3 linked regions of the Oryzias latipes genome follow. The protein of the gene in region 1 purifies or fractionates together with the protein of each later gene. This does not show direct contact. Links are inferred from orthologs where the notes say so. Each region holds a gene or a part of one and is shown in the gene's direction. Other genes may lie near its edges.

Region 1 (3,720 bases):
AGCCAGGCACTGTTGTAGAGGACACACGGGCAGCGTGGACACCGTTTCCACAGACCCCACTGGCTCAAAGGTAAAACCCATTAAAGCCAGAAAATAAAGAAATAACAAGTCCCTGATTTTTGGTTGTCTCCTTTAGTTCTGCAGTGGCTCCTGGGATAAAATGCTAAAAATCTGGTCTGCAGGTAAGAAAAGAATCAAAAAATCAAGAATGTTGACACCAAAAAGCCTTAAGTCATCTGTAAGTTTTCCTCCCTGTTGCCAGTGCCCACAGATGAGGCAGATGAGGTAGAGGAGGCCGCAGACAGACCAAGGAAGAAACAGAAGACCCAGCAGCTCGGTCTGACCAGGGTGAGCTCCCAGCTGGAAGAGGAGAGGGAAAACGAATTAGATTTGTTACGTCCACTGGAGCGTCATTTTGATACTATCTTGACAGACGCCCCTCATGACGTTATCCGGACACAACGAAGCGGTGTCCTCCGTCTTGTGGAGTGATGCGGAGGAGGTCTGCAGTGCATCGTGGGATCACACCATACGAGTGTGGGACGTGGAGGCTGGAGCGATGAAGACCACGCTGGTGAGACAAATTCTTTTCCTGTTTTTTTTTTTAACTTTTCCTTAATTTAGCTTGACTTAAAAAAAAGTAACTGGTCATTTTTTTAAAATCTTTATTTTTTTATTGTAAACGATAAATGTTTGAAGATGCATCTTAATAATTGAAGGAAAAATCTGCTTTTCTCTACATCAAGCAAACAAAAGTTTCAATAAGAAGAACAAATACTCTCAAAACTTGCAAAATAATTTCATCCCACTCTAATCAGCTTTTGATTCTATTTTCAAAAGTGGGCTTTTAATTATGATTATGTTTAACGACATCGTTTCTGCAGGGCGGCAGCAGTTCGTGTAAAAAAAAAAATACATCTGAGTTGTGTGCAGGTGGTAAACAAAGACGTACAGAAATGTAATTTTAAGCTTAATTTTCTGTAAATATGTCCTCCATGGTGAGAAAAAGGCCACAGGAATGAGTGATAAAAACCAGTTTTCATCAGTGTGTGTGTCTGTAAAGAGGAACATTTTAAAAAATCCATATTTAAAGGGAAAATATTTACAGCACTAATACTAATCCGTAACCAAACACTTACACAGACAAGACAGAAAAATCTCCTTTTTAGCCACATTTGCACTGCTGCAGTCAAACCTTCTCTTCATAAATGTCAAAGTTTCTTATGGTCAAATAGATTTGCTGTATTTTATAGTTTCGAATTTGGCTTTTCAAAATAAAAGTATTAATAAGGACTGACTCTAGATGGCATCTCTTATTTATTCTTAAGTCTAAAGGGATTTCTTTTGTCAGCCTAGCATCAGGATTTAAAAACTAATCTGTGATCTCATTTTAAGGTATGCTGGTCGTATAGTATATAGCTTTAGTCAGTATTTGATCATCCGAACACTGTGGTTGCTGAAAAGCAGCATTCTAGCTGTAGATTTGGTGCGATGGACCGGTTTTAGAGAATAATCTGTCCTCCTGATCTTCAGAGGAACAAAACAAGCACCTCCCAGCTGGTATTTCTTCAGGATCTGCCATGTTTTGTCTCCTCAGACGGGCAGTAAAGTGTTCAACTGCATCTCCTACTCTCCTCTGTGTCGACGGCTCGCCTCTGGGAGCACAGACAGACACATCCGCCTCTGGGATCCACGGACCAAAGGTGCCGCTGTGCTGACATCAAAAATACACCCCAAAAATGATGTATTAACCTATTTCTGTTGTCACTTTTGTTTGTCAGATGGAGCTTTGGTGTTGCTGTCTCTAACGTCCCACACCGGCTGGGTCACTGCTGTCAAATGGGCTCCGACACACGAGCACCAGCTTGTCTCCGGTTCCCTTGACAACCTGGTCAAACTTTGGGACATCAGAAGGTCTGTGAAAATTGCTTTTCGCATATTTTGGCACTAGTTAAGGCATATTTTATTTATTTATTTTACAGATGCAAAATTACCCTCATTTGGTGCGTTTAGTGAAAATTTGTGCAGAAGCTCATTGAATTGACTGTGAATCATGTGAAGAAAGAACATGTCACCTACTGCCTGTTTGACCAAGCTTGTTACCATAGTTACGTGAATGCTTCGGATGGAAAAAAGAAAAAAAAATGTGCTTGTGTTTGTCAAAAATTCAGAGTCCAGAGGATTTATTGATGACTGTGATACAGATATTCTGTAATGGACAACAAAGGTTAAATAATTATCATCGTTCCATCTGTTTTCATGTTTTTCAGGATTTACTATCATAAAACTGGCTTATATATATTTTTGTTGGATCCAGAATTTCACTTCACCTCATATTAAAGTTCTTTGTAGCAATTTTTATACCAGATGAGGGACAAATAAAGTGTAATGCTAAAGTGCGAGCTCCACCTAATGGCCAAACGGAAACGCCCTGCAGGAAAGGCAGCACATTTATCTTTGTAATATGAGCCGGTTTAGAGCCTTTACAGTGTTAGTGATCTCCACATTTTTGTTGGAGCTTCTCTGTTTGAGAAACTATGAAACACTGCATGGTGTTAACAAGCTCATTGGTTTATTATCTCATTAAAACATTTTACATAATGTTAGCTTTATTAGATTAATATGACTATCTTCAAAACCAATAGAATACTTGTGTTTTTTATAAAAATGTCTCCAAATGTGTAAACCGTGTAAATTCCAAATTGATCCAATCAAGTGGACAATACAGAAACTTGATCCAGGCTCTGTTGAATTGAATCTATGCTGGAAACTATTGGTGATACCCAGCCCTATCACTCACGTTGTCTCTCTTTAGCTGTAAGGCTCCCTTGTATGACCTGGCGGCCCATGAGGACAAAGTGTTCTGTGTGGATTGGACGGAAAGTGGGGTGAGACAAATTCTTATGTACTCCAGACTCCCATGACAAGACTTCAGAGTTGACTTATCTTGACTCTGCTTTTTGTTTTTTAGCTAATGTTAAGCGGCGGGGCGGACAACAAGCTTTACAGTTACAAATACTCTCCGTGTCGAACAGACGCCGGAGCGTAGAAACCTCCCATCCCAACAGTGCCAACATGGAAGTACTGCAAAAAAATTATAGTTTACCTAATTTTTTTTCTCTCTCTGCCATTGTTATTTTTTTAGTCTTATCAGTTCTCTGACATATTTTTGTTTGTTTTTCTCCTGTATACAATAGAGTATAAATTAATTTTTGCTCAAGTGTTGTCTCTGGTGTGTCATTCAGGCAAACTTGTTCTTATGGATTTAAAAAATATATAAATATATATTTATACCATGGTCCGGGTGAATACTCGATTCGGATTGGCTGCTGGGTGTGGATTAAAAAGTGATAATTCACAGTGATGATGCACACCTAAAAATTTCCGGTCAAATAGCTTGTGGTGAAACCCAGCGTTGATCGATTGACCAAGACACACGTGTGCTCAGTTGGATTCAGGTCTGGGGTCCATTTCATCAATACTTTTGTCTAGCAGAAACTGCTGACACACTCCAGGCACATGAGGTCTAGCATTGAAAAGCCACCCCAAACCGTTACCGACCCACTGCCAAACTGGTCATGTTGGTTGATGCTGCTGGCAGCGGAACGTTCTCCACGGCGACTCCAGACTCTGTCACGTCTGTCACATGTGTTGAGTGTGAACCTGCTTATATCTGTGAAGAGCACAGGGCGCCAGTGGCTAATTTCCCAACCTTGATGT
Region 2 (4,340 bases), on another chromosome or scaffold:
CGTAGTCCCAAAAACCACTGAAGCACTCCTTTAAAAAGTCATATAGCCCCATGATGACTTTATGAAATGCTGTACTCATATCCAAATCAGTGCTTGAGTCTTTTTATCAACAGAACTTTATCTTGTTACAACATTTCTTCTTCTCCCTGTCTGAGGCTGCTCTGCTCTTGTCTGCATTTTGCTGAAGCATCCCTGACATATGTGAGGGGTCCAATAGACAAGGGGTGGGGCTTAGATTTACAGTACAGACCAAATGTTTGGACACACTTTCTCATTCAAAGAGTTTTCTTTATTTTCATGACTATGAAAATTGTAGATTCACACTGAAGGCATCAAAACTGTGAATTAACATATGTGGAATTATATACATAACAAGAAAGTGTAAAACAACTGAAAATATGTCATATTCTAGGTTCTTCATAGTAGCCACCTTTTGATTTGATAACTACTTTGCACACTCTTGGTATTCTCTTGATGAGCGTCAAAAGGTAGTTTACCTGAAATGTTTTTCACTTCACAGGTGTGCCCTGTCAGGTTTAAAAAGTGTGATTTCTTGCCTTATAAATGGGGTTGGGACCATCAGTTGTGTTGTGCAGAAGTCAGGTGGATACACAGCTGTTCGTCCCACTGAATAGACTGAATTTGTTTTAGTGCTAGAAAAAAGCAGCTAAGTACAGAAAAATGAGTGGCCATCATTACTTTAAGAAATGAAGGTCAGTCAGTCCGAAAAATTGGGAAAACTTTGAAAGTGTCCCCAAGTGCAGTCAGAAAAACCATCAAGTGCTACAAAGAAACTGGCTTACATGTGGAGCGCCCCAGGAAAGGAAGACCATGAGTCACCTCTGCTGTAGAGGATGAGTTCATCCGAGTCACCAGCCTCAGAAATGGCAGGTTAACAGCAGCTCAGATTAGAGAGCAGGTCAATGGCACACAGAGTTCTAGCAGCAGACACATCTCTACAACAACTGTTAAGAGGAGACTTTGTGAATCAGGTCTTCATGGTAGAATATCTGCTAGGAAACCACTGCTAAAGAAAGGCAACAAGCAGAAGAAACTTGTTTAGGCTTAAGAACACAAGGAACGGACATTAGACCAGTGGAAATGTGTGCTTTGGTCTGATGAGTCCAAATTTGAGATTTTTGGTTCTACATGCCTGCTCCCACTGTAAAGCATGGAGGAGGAGGTGTGATGGTGTGGGATGCTTTGCTTGTGACAATGTTGGGGATCAAGAAAGAAAAAGGGCCAACATGTCTGTCTGTCTGTCTGTCTGTCTGTCTGTCTGTCTGTCTGTCTGTCTGTATCTATATCTATATCTATATATATATATAGATATAGATATATATAACAACCTGTAGGATAATATTGTTTTATGCAGCAGTCCACCATTTAACTAAACAGTGCATTCAAACATTGTTATTAATGTTATTTTTTTGTTATTGCTTTTTTTAGTAGCTCGCTCATCTACCGCAGCTTAATAAGACTATTGCGAGCAGGCAGATGAGCGGTCGACTGTGGGTCCTCGTGTCCGCTAAACCCAATCTGATTCTCTTGCGCATGTCAAACAACACGTGCATTTACAGCAAAACATGGTGGTCGTGTTCAGATTTTAACTACCTGACAACATATTTAGTTAAAAACGGTTTGTTTGGCTTTATTTCAGATAAACTAATTTCTTAAGTATGGGCGGCACTCAAAAGAAAAAGGTAAATGCTGGCGTTTTGTTTGAACTCAGTAACAGTTTCCATGCTACGTACGTAGCTAGCTAAACTAGCTTAAGTTTGTTCTAAGTGGTTCATTATGTTGGGCAAACGTTTACACGTGAATGTGAACAGTCAAAATTACATTTAATGCAGTTTACGGAAATTGTTACTGGAAATTTTTAAAACCGTTTTCTTTGCAGTTTGAGAGGGGCTCTGCCACCAACTACATTACACGAAATAGAGCTCGGAAGAAGCTACAGTTGAGCCTACCAGACTTCAGGTACCACACAGCTCAAGTTTTTTTCTTTTTCTTTTTTTTGTAAATAATACCTTTTTTTTTTTTTTTTTTTTTACCACTGATTTGGATGTTTTTTTTAACACGAGGTATTTGTTAAATTATTTTTGAACTGCAACTGAACTGGAGTGTGTGATTTTATGGTTTAATTTTCAGAGATTGTTATTAATGTACCAGCCCCTTTGTGTCTGCACATAACTTTGTGGTTAAGCATAGTTATAATAAAGGTTAACCTATTTGGAGCAGTTTCTTAAAGTATACACTACAGTGTAAAAAAAAAAGAACATGAAAACGTTGCAAATCATAAATGTTGGCAAACATTTATTTACTGTCCTTAAACATTTAACAGTTTGACATTCAGTAAATATAAATACTTGACATTACTTGCTACATTATTCAAACATGTAGTTGTAGAGTTGGATAAGTTAATTCTACCTTAACAGTCCTGGTACATCACCTGTCTGTCCTGGGAGAGGATCCCTTCTTCATCATGTGGACACAGCGGAGACTGTTTCCCCCGGAATCTGTTATTTATTTATCTATTTTTAATAACGTTTTGCTTACCGAGAAGTAGGGTCTAAGGGCAGGGGTGCCCAGTTTAGCTTAGTCTGTTTAGTTAAGTTTAGCAATGACCTACTGTATTTAATGACTGATTTAATGTTAGCCCAATAAGACAACTATTATTGTATTATTGGGCTATACAAAAAACATGCGACCAACAACAACCTTTAGCCTTTAATGCAATTAAAATATGTGCGGGCAGTGCAGCAATGTGCGTCTCGTATTGTGTGTGGCCAACATGATTTTCCATCAGATTTAGTCAGACTGCGATACACACTCATGTCATTTTTTTGTATCTCTGATGACTTGCTTTACTTTTTGTTTTAGACGACTCTGCATTCTTAAAGGCATCTATCCTCATGAGCCGAAGCACAAGAAGAAGGTCAACAAGGGCTCCACTGCCCCCAGGACCTTTTATCTGCTTAAAGATATTCGTTTTCTGCTGCATGAGCCCATAGTTGCCAAGTTCAGAGAATACAAGGTATTTCAAAATGTGTAAATGTTTTTTATTATTTTTTTATTACTTACATGCATAGAGAGAGCACAGTGTCGATTCCCTTTCTCTTCAAAGTGTGAATTAAAGAGCTTGTTGATACAAAAATACATTGCAGAAAATTTGTTAAAATAGAAATGATCACCAAAAAGTGACTAAGTTTGAAATGCATAACTTGTAGTTGATCTTTAATATGTAAAAAACTTTTTGTTTTTGCATTTTTTGCATTACCTGCAATGAAAAGTGAGGATTTAAGAGATCCATTCCTTCTCTGCAGTATAGACTTAAGTGTGCATACTTAATGTGCATGCTCACACATGGATTTGGATTTAAGGACTGGAAAATGTAAACAATATAAGGTTTTAATATATTATCAAACAACTTTATTTATTTTGGTAATAATCTTTTTGGATACTATACAGTCGAAGTGTAAGTTAGCCTAAAAATTTGTTCTTTGTTTTAATAGATATTTGTACGGAAACTGAGAAAGGCTTATGGAAAAACGGAGTGGTCTGCAGTTGAAAGACTGAAAGAAAACAAGCCAACCTATAAATTGGACCACATCATTAAAGAGAGGTGAGACTGACTTAAAAAGTGGGGCATAAGTAGATTTTTCTGTTAAATGAACCCATTGTTCTGTGTTTTTCTAGTTTTTAAATGTAAGACAGATAAACCTACCTCTAAGTCAATTGCTTTCTGTTGTAGATACCCCTCCTTCATCGATGCCCTCCGTGATATCGACGACGCCCTTTGCATGTGCTTCCTCTTCTCCACATTTGCCAGAACGGGAAAATGTCACGTCCAAACAATCCAGCTCTGCAGACGCCTCACTGTGGAGTGGATGAACTATGTGATTGCATCACGCTCTCTCAGAAAGGTGCAGCTTTACTGAACTCTTTCACAGAAAAAAATTACAGTTCTGTGTTTTCTGACATACAACCCACTCTGTTCCCGTTAGGTTTTCGTCTCCATCAAGGGAATGTACTATCAGGCTGAGGTGATGGGACAGCTCATCACATGGCTGGTGCCCTATCAGTTCTCCCATGATGTAAGTCAAATTGATGAAATGAGGTTCATAAGGAATATACCAATAAGCAGTGACAGCAAAATCAACAATGTTCTAACTAAACACAGAAAGTCCCCAGTTAATTAGTAAAGCTGTTTACATAGTTTCCAAAGTCTGACATCATCTTTTTATATTTACTTTTAAATACCATCTAAGTCATTTAGGAACCAAAACATTTTAATTAAAGGTGATTAATTTCCAGTTGAGGTGCAGACGCCGAGACTC
Region 3 (4,333 bases), on another chromosome or scaffold:
ATAAAGTTTGTTTTTCCTAATCAAACAATTTATTTGGTGGTTATGATTTAAAACTTTGAGTTTTTTAAAGTATAAACAAAAAAAGTTAATAAATAATTACTGAGGCTAAATTTAATTGCTGCCATACTATGGATGGATGGATGGATGGATGGATGGATGGATGGATGGATGGATGGATGGATGGATGGATGGATGGATGGATGGATGGATGGATGGATGGAAACTGTGTTTTCTCACTCCTAGGCAGTTGCAACCATTGAGTTATATCACTAGAGGAGACATCACGTGGTTCCTCATGGGAGGAGAGCACCGCCATCTTGGTGAGGTCAAGTCACTGCTGCAGTGCATGCATGTGAACACATTTTTTGCATAATGCCAGTTCATTGTGCGGATTTCAACTGCCAAAATCAGATAAATGAGTCCATGAAGGAGGTAGGTGTATCATTTCACAGGTAAGTATTTTATTTTTTTTTATTTTAAGGCTGCAGGGGCTTCATTAATAGAACGTATGTTGACATGCATGATGCTGCAGGGCTGTTATCAACATGCTGCATGATGTACATTTATTTTGCTGTCAATATAAATGTAGATTTTATTTTGCTAAACCTGTATACAGCATACTAGGCTATTATAGTAATATAGATTTAAACATTTCTGACTCAGTGACTGAACTTTTCTTGCAGGATTCCAATGGATTCAGACTGAAGGAAAAAGTGGGACTTAGCTATAAAAAGAGTTAACCCAGATGGATCACTGTGGTACCAACTAGTAATACAGTCTGACTGTTCAAAACATTTGTGGAAACAGATTTTGATAAGAGGCCAGACTGTTTTTTTAGGGTAAATCTATTGTCCTATTGTCTATATTATTTTGAATATTATTATTATTATTATTATTATTATTATTATTATTATTATTATTATTATTATTATTATTATTATTATTATTATTAATAATAATAATAATAGTAATAATAATAATAATATAATTATTTTTATTATTCTTTATTGACTTGTTATTTATTTATTGTTATTTATTGTTTGTATTGACTTACTATTGATTTTTTTATTTGTAAGAAGTCCTGCAACAATGCATTTTCATTCAAGTTTGAGCTTTTAAGGCTGACTGTTTCTCTTCTTTAACATCAACAAATGATGTATCTATATATATATATATATATATATATATATATATATATATATATATATATATATATATATATATTATATACATAAAATATAATATATTTATATATATATGTATAAATATATTTAAATCTAAAAATATATACAGTTTATAAAAGCTACTTAGACACCACTAAAATCAATAGAAATCAATGTCATGTGGGCGTCGTCGACCTCACCAAGATGGCGTCGCGCTCCGCCACCGACGGCCAGGCTTCTAAAGCGGGCGTGTCTCCTCTAGTGATATAACTCATTGGTTGCAACGAACAATATTATTGTTCAGCCGGACGTGCAGTGAAGACATCTGACCGATAGGGGGCGGAGGCTGCCTTCGTGTCTTCTCGTTTTTCTCGGCCAGCATAACCTCTGACCCCGCGGGTTTTCCACGTGGGTCCGCGAAGCAGGAGCTGGAAAACGTGCAGAGCATGGAACAGAGATCAGAAATGAAGAAAGTCAGGGAGAAAACGAAGAGGAAGACGAAGGAAGTGGAGGAAGAAGAGCAAGATGAAGTGAGAAACGCAATCTAACTGTTAGAGGGAAAAAGCGGGAAATTACTCTGTGAATTAGCTAGGACTTGCTTGTTAGCGGCTAGCATGCTAATAAATAAGCAAAATCAAAACAGGCTGGAGCTTTTAAAAACGTTGACATTGCTGATAACAAATTTTCCCAACCGAACTGTTAAGCGGTGAAAATATCATATAGTTTGTTTATAAACAGACTTATAGGAATACAATATAAAAACCGCATGATTTATTTTTAAATGTATGTTTTCTGAATAGAGTTCAGTGAGAGCATCATAGAATTTGGAATTTCTTTACATACAATGAATCAGGATGCTAATATTAGCCAAACATCTATGGGGAATTGAACCATAAACAGTGATTGTGTGTGTTTGTCTTCAGCTTTTTGATATCAACAACAAAGCTACTGAGAAAGATGAAGACGACGATGACCTGTCAGACAGTGAGGACAGTCAATTTTCTGGACTGGAGGATTCCGGGAGCGACTCTGAGGATGAAGAGTCAGACGTTGAAGAGAAAAGTTCCGATGATGTGGAGGAAGCTGATGGATCAAATGATGATCCGGATAAACAGAGGCAGCAGGTGAGGTTTGCTGCTGTGGACTTACTGCGACCGGATATTATTATGGTTCTTCTGAAAATCTGTCGCATTTGCAGACAAAAGTGAAGAACAACAAAAACAAGAAAGGAGCAACTGAAGGAAAACAAGAGAAGAAAGGAGATGAGTATGAGCATGACACCTCGGATGAGGAGGTAGGAGTAGCGGCATCTGGGATTCTTTAGTGATCTCCTCGGATTGTCACTTTTATTCGCTTTTTATTTTTCTAGTAATTTCCTGTACGTCCTCAGCTTCTTGCATGTAGATGTTTGATCACCCTTTTTTATTTTATTGGTTATTTTAGAACAAAGTTTGTCTGTTTTTTTCTTGTCACTTGCCCTCTGATCTGGACCTACCTTACTTTACACAGTCTATTATTGTATAATTCTATATGCATGTTTGTGTTTTACCTTATTTGTTTTGCAAACCACCTTTTTTCTTTAAATACCTCTGTCCTGTTTCCTTGCTTGAACTCTTCTGTTGGATTCTAAAAGGTTCTCATGTGCTGGTTCTGATTCTTCTGCAGGACATCAGGAACACAGTGGGCAACATTCCCATGGAATGGTACAAAGACTTCCCTCACATTGGCTACGATCTAGATGGAAAGAAGATTTTCAAGCCAATCAGGAACAAGGATGAGCTGGACGAATTCTTGGATAAAATGGAAAATCCTGACTACTGGTCAGCTAGCCAGCGCATTTCCGCGTCCTCTACAGTTTCAAACAGGAAACGCTAACGGTTTTGGTTGTGCGTGCAGGAGGACAGTTCACGACAAGCAGACGGGAAGAGACATTGTGCTGTCAGACGAGCAGGTGGATCTGGTCAACCGACTGCAGAGAGGGCAGTTTGGAGACATCAACTTCAATGAGTACCAGGTATGCTCAGGGAGGCTTTGCATCCTTATTTTTGGCTTTTTTTGTGGTATTTTCAGAGGAATCTGTATTTATGAGCCTAAGTACAAATGCTCCTACCTGAAACCTATCTTTTTTTTTCAGGAAACAAGAAAAATGTGTTTCAAATATTCCAGCCGATGGTGATGTGAGGTTTTTGTCTTGTGACTTTCGGGTCATAAGACTTTTTTGCAGATTCACTTAAAATGTGAATTTGTCCTTGTTCTCAGCATTTAATGCTAAAAACTCAAAATCTAACAATTTGCAGATAGGAGATATTGTATTTTGGTCATCGATGTGCAATCTGGAAAAATTTACAAAGCAGACAGACTAACAGTTAAGCTTAGTTTCCAGAGATTCATATGAAATTTCTGACATCTTTTTGACAAACGTCTGTTTTTAGTCGCAAGCTGCACACATTTTGAAATTAAACGAAATTCCAGAGTGCCTCTGATTAAAAACAGTGGGAGAAAATACTATATTGGGGTGGAAAAAGTGACTGCAGGGAACACGGTAGCGACAAAGTGGCGTCAAAAGAGTGAACGAAAAAAACGAAACTATCTAAGATATGTCACAACATAACAAATTAAAAAGACAAAAAATATGCAAAAAACTACAAAGTAAACAAGCAATAACTCAAATTTGACCACATGTCCCACAGCCTTTGAAGAACCAGAGGGAAGATAGTGTCTAAAATGACCTATCAGCTGAAGTTTTAGGTTATTGTGACATAAAGCTGGTTAACCATTGTACCTGTTCCATATGTACTGACGGAGAAATACGTTTTGTCTTCTGTTCAGACAAGATTGACATCATCTATTTTAACCGTTTATATATTTATGTACGTGAAAATATATATGTATATACTATTATATATATTCATACCTCTGTATGCATATATAAACAGTAATCATTATCATAGAGGCAACATTTAGTCTTTACTAAAAGAAAAAAATGTTTTTTTTCTTCCAAATGTCAAATCAAGAGCAGCTTAAAGTGAACGAAAAATCCAAATTATAAATTCGGAAATAGTTTTAAACTCCTCAACGTATGCTGTAAACGTGAAATAAATATTGAACATTTGAAAAACGGTGAGCTTGAAAAATATATAGTTTATATTTAAAGAAATACTCTAAACTTA

The links.
Region 2: the proteins of wdr12 (region 1) and pes1 purify together in Homo sapiens (co-immunoprecipitation; 7 studies listed by BioGRID and IntAct, counting the BioPlex papers as one, with this or other methods). This does not show direct contact. The link is inferred for Oryzias latipes from reciprocal best matches to the Homo sapiens genes WDR12 and PES1.
Region 3: the proteins of wdr12 (region 1) and bop1 purify together in Homo sapiens (affinity purification with western blotting; 6 studies listed by BioGRID and IntAct, with this or other methods). This does not show direct contact. The link is inferred for Oryzias latipes from reciprocal best matches to the Homo sapiens genes WDR12 and BOP1.

Annotation. Positions count from the first base shown.
Region 1 is NC_019860.2:15,361,517-15,365,236, reverse strand, and holds the end of wdr12 (ribosome biogenesis protein WDR12), read left to right. Parts: coding exon 1-70; intron 71-136; coding exon 137-182; intron 183-262; coding exon 263-348; intron 349-433; coding exon 434-574; intron 575-1,597; coding exon 1,598-1,703; intron 1,704-1,781; coding exon 1,782-1,914; intron 1,915-2,815; coding exon 2,816-2,888; intron 2,889-2,971; coding exon 2,972-3,049; 3' UTR 3,050-3,220; downstream 3,221-3,720.
Region 2 is NC_019867.2:13,302,676-13,307,015, forward strand, and holds the start of pes1 (pescadillo homolog), read left to right. Parts: upstream 1-1,506; 5' UTR 1,507-1,679; coding exon 1,680-1,703; intron 1,704-1,900; coding exon 1,901-1,980; intron 1,981-2,883; coding exon 2,884-3,037; intron 3,038-3,515; coding exon 3,516-3,625; intron 3,626-3,754; coding exon 3,755-3,926; intron 3,927-4,007; coding exon 4,008-4,097; intron 4,098-4,340. Other genes in the region: p2rx2 (P2X purinoceptor 2), read right to left, coding at 1-79. UniProt on the Homo sapiens protein: Component of the PeBoW complex, which is required for maturation of 28S and 5.8S ribosomal RNAs and formation of the 60S ribosome.
Region 3 is NC_019869.2:4,823,163-4,827,495, reverse strand, and holds the start of bop1 (ribosome biogenesis protein BOP1), read left to right. Parts: upstream 1-1,521; 5' UTR 1,522-1,609; coding exon 1,610-1,693; intron 1,694-2,086; coding exon 2,087-2,287; intron 2,288-2,361; coding exon 2,362-2,457; intron 2,458-2,828; coding exon 2,829-2,983; intron 2,984-3,059; coding exon 3,060-3,177; intron 3,178-4,333. UniProt on the Homo sapiens protein: Component of the PeBoW complex, which is required for maturation of 28S and 5.8S ribosomal RNAs and formation of the 60S ribosome.